Linked DNA regions of Oryzias latipes. The protein of the gene in region 1 purifies or fractionates together with the protein of each later gene. This does not show direct contact. Links are inferred from orthologs where the notes say so. Each region holds a gene or a part of one and is shown on either strand. Other genes may lie near its edges. The genes, in order: kpna3 and kif22.

Evidence for each region.
Region 2: the proteins of kpna3 (region 1) and kif22 purify together in Homo sapiens (affinity purification with mass spectrometry; 3 studies listed by BioGRID and IntAct, counting the BioPlex papers as one, with this or other methods). This does not show direct contact. The link is inferred for Oryzias latipes from reciprocal best matches to the Homo sapiens genes KPNA3 and KIF22.

What each region holds. Positions count from the first base shown.
Region 1 is NC_019879.2:9,658,824-9,663,386, reverse strand, and holds the start of kpna3 (importin subunit alpha-4), read right to left. Parts: upstream 3,085-4,563; 5' UTR 2,965-3,084; coding exon 2,896-2,964; intron 1-2,895. UniProt on the Homo sapiens protein: Functions in nuclear protein import as an adapter protein for nuclear receptor KPNB1. Binds specifically and directly to substrates containing either a simple or bipartite NLS motif.
Region 2 is NC_019877.2:7,646,877-7,649,901, reverse strand, and holds the end of kif22 (kinesin-like protein KIF22), read left to right. Parts: intron 1-189; coding exon 190-278; intron 279-560; coding exon 561-761; intron 762-845; coding exon 846-905; intron 906-1,981; coding exon 1,982-2,011; 3' UTR 2,012-2,207; downstream 2,208-3,025. UniProt on the Homo sapiens protein: Kinesin family member that is involved in spindle formation and the movements of chromosomes during mitosis and meiosis. Binds to microtubules and to DNA. Plays a role in congression of laterally attached chromosomes in NDC80-depleted cells.

The DNA.
Region 1 (4,563 bases):
GTGGCCCGCGAAGCTGTAGACCTTGTGGTATCTTGTGGGGTCAAAATGACCCCACCCTGACATTGACCTGTTATTCCTACTCTGACAAAGGTGGAAAAAGGTGAAGAGGATTTCATGTAATCCATGGACACCAGTAAAGATCACATATCATTAAAAGAAAGAAGGTTCAGAGCACTGTCTTAAAAATTCTAACAAAAATGAAAAGTTACCCAAAAACCTGTTTGGCAGAATACCAAGACTTTTTTTTTTTTAAAAAGCTGTAATATTAATAAATCAAACGATTGCCAGTCTTCTTGATTAAATTTGCCACCCCCATGTTTGCATGGATGTTTACAGCTAAACGAATTCCTATCAGCAACACGTGTACATTCATATGGCTGACCTGCAGCTGCCTGCATTTTATTAATTTGTATTTTTTGCAGTCTTTGCCTTTGACCACGAACACTTAGATTATGTGCTCTGCTATGCAAATACTGGAAACTAGCCAAGCATAAACTGCAATTTAAAAAAGCAATGCATTCCTTTTTCAAAATCATTATCACCAGGGTGAATTAGAGTCGTACTACAAGCAAATGTGACATGACTGTACTCTGCAGCAGTGTTTTTAAAGAATCAGGGAGGTCAGCATCAAATAAAGCAAATGTTTAAATCATATTCTTATAGGAAGCATAATGTCTGGAGTGAAGGACTTTACAGCAAACATGACAGAACATGATTTAGGAGTCACATGAAGGACTACAAATGGAGCCGGTACAATTAATTAACAAATAAATCTACAAAGAAATAAGACATTTCTCATACACAACAAACACACCACTATGCGGTTTGTTTAACTTGTTTCATGTAAATTTTTTATGGAAGGTTGGTGTGTGACTCCATACAGTTTTCCATACCAAGGCCTTGAAGTTTGGAGTGCTGTAAGGCTTCATGAGGCTTCATTCACTCATCACCTTTTTTCCTACACAATGTTTCCGTTCGTCAGACACTGTTGGTCTCACTTTTCTGCATAATTTTGTTTCTTTTTTGTCTCATTTCCTAAATTTCGCTCATCGTACAAAAATCCCATGGTATTCACTTAAAACAGAATCTTACTTACATTCACTCCTGCAGTTTAGTCTGTTAGGATACAGACAGGAGCCTGAAGGTCATATTTTCAGTTATACCAAAGTGATGCCGCATATTCCCACAGAAAGCACCTAACAGGGAACCACACGGATCTATTAACAGGTTTCCTGTTGTTTATCCAAAACACGGAGATGTCCTAAGATCTTGTGATGCTTAAAAAACAGGTTCATGTTTCCTTCTTAAATAGCCACTCACGTAATCAGGAACTGTTATAAATAAGAGGGCAGTGGAGAAGAGAGGAGCCTCCCAATCACTGCAAACATACAATAAAATACAATACTTCTTAGCTTTTCTCTACTTCTCCTGTATTAGTGACAAGAACAAAGAATACATCCAGGATGGCTGACTTAAAAGCAAACAAGCTCAAATGGACATGTCTCTCCCTGATGCAGTATGGGTCACCCACTGAAAAGTCCAGTTCATGCTGGGGCTTTAAGAGGCCCAGGGTCAGACATCCGAGATTCCTGAAATAGCATCAGGAATGCAGCAGGCACCGTCTGTGTGTCATGGTAGCCATGTGCTTGTCAGCCTGACCCAACTTTCAAAACAACAACCTGTGTTGGTGTGTTCAGTTGGGGTACTCCAAACACTGAGGTGGATTTTTCAGACACACTTTTGTTTAGGGATTATCTCAGGATTAGACATAGATCACAATAACCCAGGCACAAGTGTGTCATTGTTATTAAAACCTTTGGCCTAGAGCGCTTTGATAAACATCTTGTGGAAAAAAAAGTTTCAAAAATATGCGTTTAATGAAATAATCTTTTGTTTTCTTACCTAACCTAACATCAATTAATCCAGACTGTTGCCTCATCATGCAGGCCTAATGCAAACAAGAATTCAGAAGGATTTGTCCTCCTAATTTCACTTGTTATGAGAATGATGCAGCAACAAACTTGATTAGATGGTACAGTAGCCTGTGAGGCCCAAAAACAACAGACTGTCTACCACTAAACCCGACAGAATCAAACACTTGTGTGAAAGTACAATTCTGAAATCTGGAATTCCAAACAGTCAATACTATGTTAACCAAACTGTTAGGTAGATTAAAAAAACTAATAATTGAAGAGTTATTACGTTTAGAATTTATTTGTTTGTACAATTTGAAACTAAAAGATAACACGAAAACAGTAAACGGATTGTAATTGTTGATCTGGGTTTATTTCCTTGTAGCCTGGTTTACCTGAACCACCTGGAAATTAATGCAAGCTTGATGAGGTTAGCAAGCTAACGATCAGCCAGGACAGGAGGAGGTAAAAATGTGACCTAGACCGGAAATTGATTACAACATTTACAACTGTTACACAAGGTATGGTGACCGTGTGTGCCGCAGGTAACAGTGACGCAGACTACTGGTGGTTCACTAATATACGGTATATATAACGCTGATGAAGCCGGCCAGGCCCAGCCCCGCCTGCGACCGGTATCCATCCAACCAGCTAGCTAGCTAGCTAGTTAGCCGGTAGTGACAGCTTCGTCGCCTACCGTTAATCAGACTGACTCTGTGAGAGATTGCTGTTCACAGCTACTCATGGACTAAAGTAACACACATTGTGTTAACCAATACCCAATCACAACACTTTGAATACAAAATATTATTACACACAATCGAACAGATTGACAGATTTCATAGCGAATTCTTCCTGATGGCTTGCTAGCTGACTTGTAAGCAAACTGTTTCAGTAGGGGCCAGGGCAAACGAGGCCCTTTTAATACCTGAAAATGGTTCCGTTCGTGGTGTTTAAAAACCACGGGTTTGTCTAAGCTCACCTCGACATCACGCCCTTTATTTTTGAAGCTCTTGATGCGGTGGTTTTCCAAGCCGGCGTTCTCTGCCATGGCTGTGCGGGCTTTAGCTAATATACTCCCGTTTTAGTGGATCTCCTCCGTCAAAGACTAGGCACGGCTCTTCTTGTGCTGCTGCTGTTGCCGTTGGCCCCACAGAGGAGGAGGGGGAGGAGTGATCGTAGCAGATCGCGGAGGGGTGGGAGGAGTCAGAGCATACCGCCCACCACTTACCCCTCCCATCCCGATGGGCTGTCCCTGGTATCCAAGGCTCCCAGGATGCAGCACAGTTGGAATAAAAACCTGCTTTTGGACTAACATGTTCTTGTAGCATTTTTCTGATGATGGTGGACAGAAAATTGAGCTTGAGACAGATAGATCAATATACGTCTTTGTTTTCCTCGTCTGAGCTGACATCTTGATCAAAACTGTACACCTGGATAGCTCCAGTATTGCTCACTATTTTTGTTGCACCGGTAATGTAAGGTGGGGCATCTAAGGGACTGTAAGCTAGTGGGAGAGGATGTTGACAGATGTATAATGGGAATAAAAACAAAACCGTAACTGCAGCCGCACAAGACCCAGTACGATCATCTTTTAAGCTATTTGCAAAACGTTCAGAGTGATCTTTTTATATTGATTATGCCGTTTTTATCCAGCCGTACAGTTTCAAGCCAGATTCTGGCTTGAAACCCTCTCGGGGCCCCCGGTCGCTCTGGGTGTCACCCGCTTCGGCTGCGGGGTCTGGGGTGGGGTGGGGTGGGGGGCTTGTCGGCCCTGTCCTGTGGGGGGGCGTTCTGGGGGGAGGGGGGGCCCATTATTAGTACGGGTCGGGGGGGCTAGCGGGTCGGGGTCTCCGCTGAGGCAATCAGTGGTTGCCTCGGCCGGTTGGCCTCCTCGGTCCCGTCGAGGCCTGACCAGAGCTCTTCTAGGGCCGGCGTCTGGGGGTGGGGGCCTGGGCTTGCTCCGGGGGGGGGCGACGCTTTCTGGCTCCTCTCTCTCTGTGTGGGGTGGGTGGTGCCGGGCCTGGGGTGTCGGCGCCTCCGGGGGTGGGCCCCTGGGCTGGGTGGCCCTGGCCCCTTTGCTGGGGGTGGGCTGGGGGACGGCTGTTTGACCACCGGGGGACAGTCTACCAGCTGTCCCCAACTTACCCCCTTCCTTATATAACCTCATATTAGGGTGAGGGGGTGGGGGGTCTAGCCTGCGATGCGCCTTGGGGGGGGGCTACTTGGGAGTGGCCCCCCTCCTATGGTTGCCGTATGGAGTGGGCCCCCCCTCTTTCGGTTTTATTTGCACCTTAGACATGTAGGGTCCTTGGTAGGGGGGGTGCTTGGACATCACTGCAAGCAAGCAGCAGATGTCCTCCTGGCACCCTACCCGCCAATTTTAACCGCACCTTAGACATTTAGGGCCCCTTGGTGTGGAGGGTGAGGGGACATCACTGTGAGTAATCAGGAGATGTCCCCTTAGTGCCCTACTCGCCAATTTTAACTGCACCCCCCTTAGTACACACACCCCTCCCCCTTCAATATATACATTCAAACATAAACACACACACATGCACACAAACACCCTCTCAAACACCCATACACGCACACACATTTTACAAGGAAGGTGGGACCTGGGTCCATCTGTCCCCTAGCCCTTCCCTGG
Region 2 (3,025 bases), on another chromosome or scaffold:
CCTCAGCATCACTGAGAGCCACTCGGATAACTTTCTTACTCATGAAAACACACTTTCAGTTCTCCACTACAACATTTAACATGCAAACTTTTTGCCCAGAGAGAATCAGCTGTTAAAAAAAAAAGGTGAAAAGGTTTCATCTTTTTGTGACATTAAAGATTTTGCATGTCTCCTCCTCCTCCTCTTCAGTGTCTCAGCTGCAGCCTCCTGTCCACCTTGCTGTCTTCAAGAAACAGTCCGTCTGTGTCAAGAAGAGGGAGCTTTCCAGCAGGATTGAGGTCAGCTTTGACTGCGCAGTTTGTGGCTTGACACATCTGCAGAGTTGCAAGCATCAGATACAGGCTGACACAGAGCATTAGTTTCACTTGTGGTGTTTGTTTTTCATTTTGTTTTTGACGCAGCAAATGCTGCAAAATGTCACATTTGTGTTAACCGCATTGCAGAACACGTAAGGGGAAAGAGTTGTTGGTTTAAAAACCGGTTGTAGGAACAGGATCATCACGTAGAAGGTGTATTCTGTTGAGTTAGATTTATTTTATTTTATGTTTTTGTTCTTTCAGCTCCCAGACGGTAAGGAGAACATGAAGGAGAATTCCTGGGAGTCCCAACTAGACACGCAAATGCTGGAACAGTCAAAACAGAAAATCCTGCACATCTTGAACAGCGGCGGTGTTAAAGAGCTCAAAAGTCTGCAGCAGATTGGGGACAAGAAGGCAAAGCTGCTTCTGGGCTGGAGAGAGCTTAACGGCCAATTCACAAAGGTTTGTTAAAAGAATCCCTGTCATTTAAGAAACAAAAAGAACTTCCTGCTTCAATTTGTTTTCACTTTTGTTTTTATTTTGTAGTTGGAAGATCTGGAAAAAGTAGAAGGCATGACAGAAAAGAGATTTGCCTCTTTTTTAAAGGTGAGAGACCAAAAACATTTTGTCCTGGTCATTTGTGCTCCGATCATCTTTTGATCTATTTTAGGATTCCCAGTCGTCTTTTCATTATTATCCTGTTTTTAGCCAAAGATAATAATAAAAAATAGCTACTTTTCAAGGACTTAGTGTCTGCAGAGCAGCAGGGGTTCATTAGAAATTTGCCTATACGGTTTGAAGGTGAAGCAACCCCGCACCCCTTTCCCTTCCCCATTGCTGTTAGTGCTATGGTTACATGTACGAGCCTGTACCTCACACACTAAACTTAACGTTAGCAGTGCAACAAAAACGGAAAGCAGGGTTGGAGCTGTCCAGCAGCACAGATTCCAGCTCAGACCTGAGGACCTGGCGCAAAAATGACCTTTTCTTTTCTTTTTTCCCTTTTCAACTACATTTTGGCTAATATGCATCTGTGAACATGTTTTTGACATGTTCTTGTAACATTTTTGTCATCATGGTGGACATGCGTAAAAGAAAACTGCATTTCTGAGATTTTATTTAAATGGTCTTGGATCATGAGCAGATGAAAACCCGCAGTTTGTGATGCCATGGATGGGCCGAAGTCTACCTGCACTTCTGCAACTCTGAAGCATCCACCTGCAGACAAATTGCAGAGTCTACATCTTCATTTTCCTCGTCTGAGCTGGATTCTGGTTAGCTCTGATATTGCTTCCCCTTTATTTTTATTTATTTATTTTTGCTACACTATTGTTGTTTTTGGCCTATAATATGCTATAAACTAGTGGGAGATGGTGGAAACAAAGGGTTGATGGGGAAATTGACAGAGTCCGGCCCACAACCCAGAGGTGAATTTCTAATGAGTTCCTGCTGCAGAAAAAACAACACAGGCTTTACTGATTAATCAAAATTAAGACCCCTGGGAACTTTTTTGCAATATAAATATAGATGAAGTGGGACTTTAAGGACTAAACTGCTTGTTTAAATAATGGGAAGTTGAGTGGAAAAACCTGTATCATCAGGTTTTGATTCTAATATTTCTGACTGTCAGCATGATTCTTTTTAAAGTCCTGTGAATTATTTATCCTTGTTCTCTTTTGCAGGCGAACATCCTGAGTGCCATGGGGAAATGATCTGTTTTTATAATGTGTACATGTATATATATATATTTTTTTCTTTACATCAGTTGGACATAGTTTTTATTTCCAAAGCTTTTGTTTTTGTAATTTAAGTTTTTTTTCTTTTTCAAAGCTTTTAATGTTTTTGTAATGCCAGCTTTTTCCTGTGGGTGGCACACTCGTGCGTTTTAATAAACCTCACGTGAATGAAGTGTTTGCTTGTTTATTTCACACCTTCATCTAGTCCCCATCAGAGGGGAAGGAGCATTAGTCCTCTGAAGCCTCCCCACACCATTCACCCCCCAAATAGGATTCAAAGAAAATATTTGGGGCAAATCGGCGCCTTTCGTTGAGGGTTGTGTGAAGGATGGTGGAGAGCCCTCCTCTCCTCCCCGTTTCGCACGTAGTCTGGATTTCACTTTTCACACCCCCTCCTCCCCCTCCCGGATCCACCCTGGAGGCTACCCATCCATCCCAGCCCTCTATGCCGGAGCGAGGATACACCAGCAGTCCTGCATTGTGCGCGTAGCCCCCCAGCAACGACTCCCCTACAGCATCTGGAGACTCCGCGGGCTGTGAAGGACACTTCTGCGCCTGAACCCACGATGCTCAGAAGAGGAGCGATCCAAACGCAATAAGAGGTCAGTTTCATTTATTCTCCGTGTTTCCTCACCAACCTGCACGTTTTTCTCCTGTCCTTCCTTTATGCTGGTGGGAGATATAAATCATCAGCCTCATTTGTCCGACTGCCCCCCCCACACATCCCTTTTGTCCTCTGCCTTTTGTTAGGCGGTAACCGCGCAGCAGTTTGCGGCTGTGTACACATTACGCGCATCCATCGATGCGCACACCTGCGCTATGGAAGAAAAGCCGCATCCTTTGTATTCCCTGGGTCATTGGGACCCGCTTTCTGCCCCACACCTTTTTTCATGATAAATGAAAGCTTAGATCTTAATGTTTGGGTTTTGTTCACCATTTTATTATTTTTTTAAAAGATATTATGCTCCTGGGCCTAAATCCCGGATTTCA